Drosophila melanogaster: one gene and its partner. Changing the gene in region 1 together with any one later gene gives a genetic interaction. Each region holds a gene or a part of one and is shown in the gene's direction. Other genes may lie near its edges.

Region 1 (3,956 bases):
AACAATGGTTTACTCTGTATTTCACCATGAGAGCAAACTATTTTAAATTTAAATTTAAAAAAATATTTCCATTTACCACATAATAGCAAGAAAGTATAATTGTATTGTATTATGCATTTGTGTTGCAGGCGAGGTTTCGGAGTGCGTCAAAACAGGACTTTGGGTGGGAGACTGCTTCATCTATACCAACTCGGTGAACCGCATCAACTACTACGTGGGCGGCGAGATTGTGACAGTATCCCACTTAGACCGCACAATGTATCTGCTGGGCTACGTGCCCAAGGACAATCGTATTTACCTCGGCGATAAGGAGTTGAACGTGATCAGTTTCTGTCTGCAGCTGTCCGTGCTGGAGTACCAGACGGCGGTTATGCGAAGAGACTTTGAGCGCGCAGACGTTGTGCTACCGACCATTCCCAAGGAGCACCGCACTAGGGTGGCACATTTTCTGGAGAAACAGGGCTTTAAGTCGCAGGCCCTGCAAGTCTCTACCGATGCCGACCATAAGTTTGACTTGGCCTTACAGATCGGAGATTTGGAAATCGCCTTAAAGCTGGCCCGTGAGTCGGAGAACTCCCAGAAGTGGTCACAGCTGGCAGATGTGGCGTCTAGCAAGAACAACATGTCTCTGGTTAAAGAGTGCATGCAGAAGGCAAACGACTTAAGCGGTCTATTGCTGCTCTCAACAGCTTCCGGCGATGCCCAGCTGCTCGAGGTGGTGGGTGCGGCTGGCTCGGCCCAGGGACATCACAATCTAGCTTTCCTCTCGGCGTTCCTTCGTTCAGACGTGGAACGCTGCTTGGAGATTCTCATTGAGACAAATCGGTTGCCAGAGGCAGCGTTCTTTGCCCGCACCTACCTGCCCAGCCAGATGTCAAGGATCGTAGAGCTTTGGCGGGAGAAGCTTGGAAAGGTCAACGAAAAGGCGGGACAGTCGCTGGCCGATCCGGCACAGTATACAAATCTCTTCCCTGGCCTGGGCGATGCGCTGCGGGTGGAGCAGCATTTGCAGGAGGAGCGAGCTCGTAAGGCGCCGGCACGCCTCGCTGCGAATCTACCACTGAATAGCGAACGTCATCCTCTGCAAGAACTATTTGCCGCCGAGCAGGGTGCCGCCGGCCAGCATTTGGAGGAGAAGGTGAAGCCAGCTTACGTTCCCGCTCAAGCTGTTGTTTCTAGCAGCCAGGTGGCCGAGCCTACATCCGCTGCGGATGACGACGACGACCTGGACTTGGAAATAGATGGAATTACGTTGGATGATAACATTGATACGACAGATGTGAACCTCGATGACGATTTTCTAAGCGACGATTAGGACGGAAGATCACAGCCAGATCTAGAATACCATTTAAACTATCGTTTACTGCTACGGGAGTCCCACATTTCGTGCATTTCGAGCCACAGAATTCCGCGCATGCATTCACATTTGATTTGATTGAATGTTGTTTAAATATATATCTATTAATAATATGTACAACAGTAATGGAGCAAACACTGCAATAAATACTTATACAACAATTTCAAATATGGCGCTCACTTCAACTATTTCGATTACATTCTGATATCTTATCGATAAAACTTTTAAACAAACTTACGATCATGCCAGGAGAAATTAAAAATTATTTTTGTTCTTTTTTTTTTTTGAGTTAAATTAGTATTCATGGTCTATTTTATTATATATTTGTACAAAAAAATGTTCTGTACCTGTTACATACATTTATTTCAACATATTTACTCTACGAGTAGGGGGTGTAATAAGTAGGCAATCCAAAAAAAGTCTGGCAACCACAAATATCAGTAAAATACATACAATTCGTGTGTGCGTCTGGATTTTGCTGTATTTTTTATTTAAGAATGAATTATTAACTAACCATTAATAAATTATTATTAAATAAAAAACAGTTAAAACCGCGATTCAAACGTGAGTACTCCCCGAATTTCGGCGAGAGTGTCAACTGGACTTTTCGCCCGCTATTCGTCGGTGATGTATCGATTTTTCAAACAACAATTACCCCGAAATTTTAAACAGATACACACCGAATCCTCCCGAAAACCGTGCAAAACAAGAACACCATGGACCAGGAGAATTTCCACGGCTCCAGCTTGCCGCAGCAGCTACAGAACCTCCACATCCAGCCGCAGCAGGCGTCCCCCAATCCTGTCCAGACGGGATTTGCTCCACGGCGGCACTATAATAACCTTGTCGGCCTGGGCAATGGAAATGCCGTCAGTGGTAGTCCGGTGAAGGGTGCTCCGCTGGGGCAGCGCCATGTGAAGCTCAAGAAGGAGAAGATATCCGCCCAGGTTGCGCAGCTGTCTCAGCCAGGTCAGCTGCAGCTGTCAGATGTTGGTGATCCTGCCTTGGCGGGCGGATCGGGCTTACAAGGTGGAGTCGGCCTTATGGGCGTAATATTGCCCAGCGACGAGGCCTTAAAGTTCGTCAGCGAAACGGACGCCAATGGACTGGCCATGAAGACGCCCGTCAGCATTCTGCAAGAGCTGCTAAGCCGACGAGGAATTACTCCCGGCTATGAACTTGTCCAGATCGAGGGCGCCATACATGAGCCGACCTTCCGGTTTCGCGTGTCCTTTAAAGACAAGGATACGCCCTTCACGGCCATGGGGGCAGGACGATCGAAGAAGGAGGCCAAGCATGCGGCGGCCCGTGCGCTCATCGACAAGCTGATCGGCGCGCAGCTGCCGGAATCGCCTAGCAGCTCCGCTGGTCCGTCGGTGACTGGGCTCACGGTCGCCGGAAGCGGAGGAGACGGCAATGCCAATGCCACAGGCGGAGGAGAGTGAGTTTTTATTCTATTGATGTCTAAGATATGATTCTAAGATATCCAATTTATTGTATTATGTCCTTGCAGTGCCAGCGACAAGACCGTTGGTAATCCGATTGGCTGGTTGCAGGAAATGTGCATGCAACGGCGATGGCCACCGCCGTCGTACGAAACGGAAACGGAAGTGGGTCTTCCCCACGAGCGGCTCTTTACGATCGCCTGCTCGATACTCAACTACCGCGAGATGGGCAAGGGCAAAAGCAAGAAGATAGCCAAGCGCTTGGCCGCCCACCGCATGTGGATGCGTCTGCAGGAGACTCCCATCGATTCGGGCAAAATCAGCGACAGCATCTGCGGCGAGTTGGAGGGCGAAGTGAGTATCATTCAAGACATCGATCGTTACGAGCAAGTCTCTAAAGATTTTGAGTTCATCAAGATCTAACCCACAAGCAATTTTCTAATATTTTTAGTGCAATTATTTTGAATGCAGTCCCATGCTTTAGTTTATAAAATTTTAAAAATTGATTTTATCAAATATATGTCATAAATGTTATATATTATTTAATACGTTTGTCCTCTATCCCTTCTCAAATGTAATGTAGAACGTTTAGAGTAATCCTCAGTTGTAAATATCCCTATAATCTTTTAAATTATGTATCTAGCTAGAGTTTTAGTACTATAGCATCCCTTTTATAGTGTGCTATCTGATATTTTTTATTGTCCTTGTTTTTATAACTAATGTTTTTGACATAATTATACATATAATTAACATAATGCTTACACCTTATTTATATTTCTGGTTTTATTTATGGTTTATATTGGCTTATTTCATTTTTCATTTTTCATATTGTTCCTTGGCATGGTGATTGTTTTAAAGAACGAATCTGTAAAGCACCTTTTCCACACAAAAGTGATATGTTTCAACTCACCATTGGCGTGTGTGATTTCAAATGTGTGCGAAATGCAATGGAGAAAAGAAACCAAAAACTTTGCGCTCTTATTTACAGCCCCGCAGTAGTGAAAATTATTATGGTGAATTGAAAGATATCTCTGTGCCGACACTGACCACGCAGCACAGTAACAAAGTATCCCAGTTCCATAAGACCCTAAAAAATGCAACGGGCAAAAAACTGCTTAAGTTACAGGTAAATTTCAATCCAATAACGCTTTTTA
Region 2 (3,600 bases), on another chromosome or scaffold:
TGGCTATCTCCACTGGTTAAGTTTCTAATTTTACAAAGAGGCCTCACCCAATTGCTCGTTCTGCTGCTGGCTGCGTGTGAAGTACGAAGTCTTTAGCTGCGGATCGGCGGCAGGTGCCAGGGGATTCTCGATGAAACTATTGCCGGATATGTCCTCGAGAAGCACTTGAAAGGGTGTTGTCACCTCCTTTAGGCGGTGCAATCGCTCGATGTACTTTTCAATTGAAGCAGCTGTCTCCGGATGATCGATGCGCCGCTTCTCCTGATCCTGCGACAAGCCGGCTATCGTCCGCTCGATGATGCCTTCGACGGTGGTCACCTCGCCCTTCTGCGACTGCACCGGAATCTCTAGCTCGATCTCCGGTATGCTGATGCTGGAGTTATCCGAGCGCACCACGCGCCGATTGAGATCAGCCACGGATTGCACTCGCAGTTCGATGCGAATGCCGGACTTTTGGATCTCCGATGCCGACTGCATCTCGTTGTTGATGTGGCCGCAGTGGTCGCACTTGAAGGACATGAGCACCACCTCGCGAAAAAAGGGTATCTTGGTGGGCAGCAGCCGAGTGACTCCCGTTTCGAAGCAGTTCATGCAGGCGGATTCGACCTCCACTATCTCGTCGGTCTGCTCCGCATTGATTTCCCGGAAAATGGGCTCCGGCCGAATGTTCCCCGCACTCTCCGGCGGATTGCTACTGTTGGGGTCGCTCACGGTGGACATGATTTGATTGCTATCCACACGAAAGTTCCTGTTTAAGTGTGCTTTTTTAAATGAAATGTATATGTTTGGGGCGAAACGTGCAAGTTTAATCGATAGACGCTGACGATAAGTGTCGATAGTCGTCGTGTGACCGGCTTGCATATGCTTAAAACTCCTTAAATACCCAGAAGTGTGCTCGGCGCGTTGATCTTAAACGCTCGAGAATTTACTCGTGTTCGATAGAAAATTCCCCGAAATAAAAAGGTGCACAAATAAATTTAAGAGCTTACCTGTAGCGGTACACGGTAAGGCCATAAAACAAAAACTGATTGGCCATCTGCATATTAATCTGGGAATACCACCTACCTGACACACGTTCTTCCTAAAATTACCTGCGCTTTCAGAAATAACTGGAGTCCTTTTGTAGAGCGACAATTCAAGGCAGTACAAAAAGAGCCAAGCTTAGAGTATCATTGAATTGTTGATATTCCTGTTACCATTTTAAGAGACTTTCAATTAAGATGGCCGGATCGTCGAGCATTAGTGCGCTGTTGGCCGAGCAAATGAATTTGGGCGAGAAGATTCAAAGCATTATTCGCAATTATAAAAAGGCTCCGGCTCAACGGAAATCTAAACCTGGATATTTTGAAGGGCGACTATCCAAATTGCAAAGCTTGTGGGATGCATTTTCCAAAGGGGAAAATACTATTAAAACTCGCAACGAAAAGACGCAAATGGAACATACATACTTTAAAAACAACTTCTTTGTCAAAATAAAGACTTTGGTAGTTGAATATACATCAGAATTCAATCGAAAACTGCACGCATCGGAAAATGATACTGAAAACGTGCACGCATCGGAATTGGATACTAAACACGTGCCCGCATCGCAGCAGAATTCTGAAGATCAATTCAATTCTATGCTTAGAGAGCATCGGATATTGATGGACAGATTGGATAATATTATAAACGAGTTGGAATGCGTGACAAGGAATGGGATTAATCCCATCATTTTACCCTATTTAACTGATATGCAAAATATGCATGCGGAAATGAGTCAAACTGACATTTAAATGTAATGTAACATGTAATAATAAAGCGTATTTTGTGTTATTATTTAAATATATATATATATAATTATATTATACTTATTAAAGATGTAAGCTTTGCGGAATGAAAACTTAAAATAAATATTTGGCGACCGATACGCGTTTATTCAATATAACTATCGATATCAGGGCATCGCTTTTCAAAAACTATCGATACGTGGCTGTGCTGAAATATATATCTATCATCCCTAGCTGCACTGCATACAAAAGTTCGACGGGAGCAGTAAAGTAATTATTTGTTTAATCCAATAATTATCGACTCCAATCAAATTGGCGGTCTTCTGGTTGTTTTTAATGTCCCAGAACGTGCTAAATTCGCTGAATCAGTGAATAACGGTAACTGTAGATATAACTGCCTGTGGTGTGTAGTGTTCTCTTGTGTTCCTGCGTGTAGGCGTTTGTGTGGGACGGGCAAATATAAAATCGTAACGTAACAAGCAAAAGAGAGCAGCAAAAAACAAAAAGAACCAACAAAAAAACGTGTGAAAACGAAAACTACATTTAAATATAAGGTGGTGACAGTTGCGAAAAAGCAGTTAGCAGTTTAAATTGGACAGTAAAAGCTGACAACGCCGGACAGACAGTGAAGTGTTCAGGCATTTCAAGGACCTTTTTCGCCTCCTGTCTGCTGTTCGGTTTGTGAGAGTGTGTGTGTATGCATGTGCAGGCGTGTGTGTTGAGTGCCTTTTGACCACGACCACCTGGGCGGTAGTCAAGTGGAAATTTTGCGTTCAAGGACAACGGCAGTGCCCCCCCTTGTCGATTGTCACCCCGCGACCCCGTCGAGAGTTGTCTTAGCCACCACCCGCGCCCCCCAACTAAAACTTTTAAATCGACGACAGTTCGTCCGGTCGGTCAAGAATAGTGTTTATTCCGAAATCGAAAAAGGGAATTCAGTTTTAATTTCACATGGTGTGTGTGTGTGTTTTTTTTTGTATTCTGTATGTGTGGGTGCCGTTTTTCGTATTCGTATTTCATTTTTTGCCGCGTTGAGTGAGCTTGCGCACACCAATACGAACGAAATTGAGAACTTTTCTTCGCATAACCGATTTTTCGCTCTCTCTCTCTCTCAATCGCTTATCGCTCCTCTTCTATCTCTTTCGCAGCCCAGCCAGCGCTGCACTCGAAAATAACCGTTTGCGAGTAGCAAGAGAGAGAGCGGCACACATTTAAAAGTGAAATAAATCAAAAAGTACGTGGAAATGGACAAGAAAATATCAGCTGCGGCGCAGAATTGACAAAGTCGATAGGGGGACCAACAAAATCATCCAGGTCCGATAAAGCAAAGCAAAATAAAACAGAACAGTGAAAAAAAGGGGCAAAGCAGCGGTACTAAATTCCGTTTACCACGTGTGTTCGCTTGTAGGCGCTTGTGTCTGTGTGTATGCAGCTGATTCGGCATGTGGGTGTTTGGTTGCGAGTGTTTGGAGGGGGCACAAAACTAAAGTAGATTTTAAACTACCGCTCACTTCCGCTGATTTAAACGTATTTATTTAGGCAATTGCCTTGCCCCAATTGAATTAGTTGTTCAAGGACTTTGTGCCCCAGCTTGTCCTTGTTAGGGCAGCTATTTTTTTGCGCAGCTAGCGGATAAATGGCTAGAAAGGTCATCACTATGAACGCGCCTGCGTGAACGGGTAGCAAAAGCAGGAAGCAGGAGTAAAGAAGAGCTTGATGTGTGTGTGTGTGTGTGTGTGTGTGGCGCATAGCTACACATAACGGAGAAAAACGTAACGTAAACTTAACGCAAAAGGGAACCGATACTACCACCCCCTTCCCCACTCTCTCCATT

What was found.
Region 2: of loqs (region 1) and mei-P26, changing one suppresses a phenotype caused by changing the other (phenotypic suppression), as found in Drosophila melanogaster (one study listed by BioGRID).

What each region holds. Positions count from the first base shown.
Region 1 is NT_033779.5:13,380,867-13,384,822, forward strand, and holds the start of loqs (loquacious), read left to right. Parts: upstream 1-1,785; 5' UTR 1,786-1,921; intron 1,922-2,029; 5' UTR 2,030-2,073; coding exon 2,074-2,798; intron 2,799-2,870; coding exon 2,871-3,156; coding exon of another isoform or gene 3,157-3,225; exon of another isoform or gene 3,226-3,299; intron 3,300-3,660; coding exon of another isoform or gene 3,661-3,790; coding exon 3,791-3,928; intron 3,929-3,955; exon of another isoform or gene 3,956-3,956. Other genes in the region: beta'COP (coat protein (coatomer) beta'), read left to right, coding at 129-1,315.
Region 2 is NC_004354.4:9,161,255-9,164,854, forward strand, and holds the start of mei-P26 (meiotic P26), read left to right. Parts: upstream 1-2,000; 5' UTR 2,001-2,144; intron 2,145-2,908; exon of another isoform or gene 2,909-3,080; intron 3,081-3,600. Other genes in the region: Zpr1, read right to left, coding at 48-720; CG44532 (uncharacterized protein), read left to right, coding at 1,221-1,772.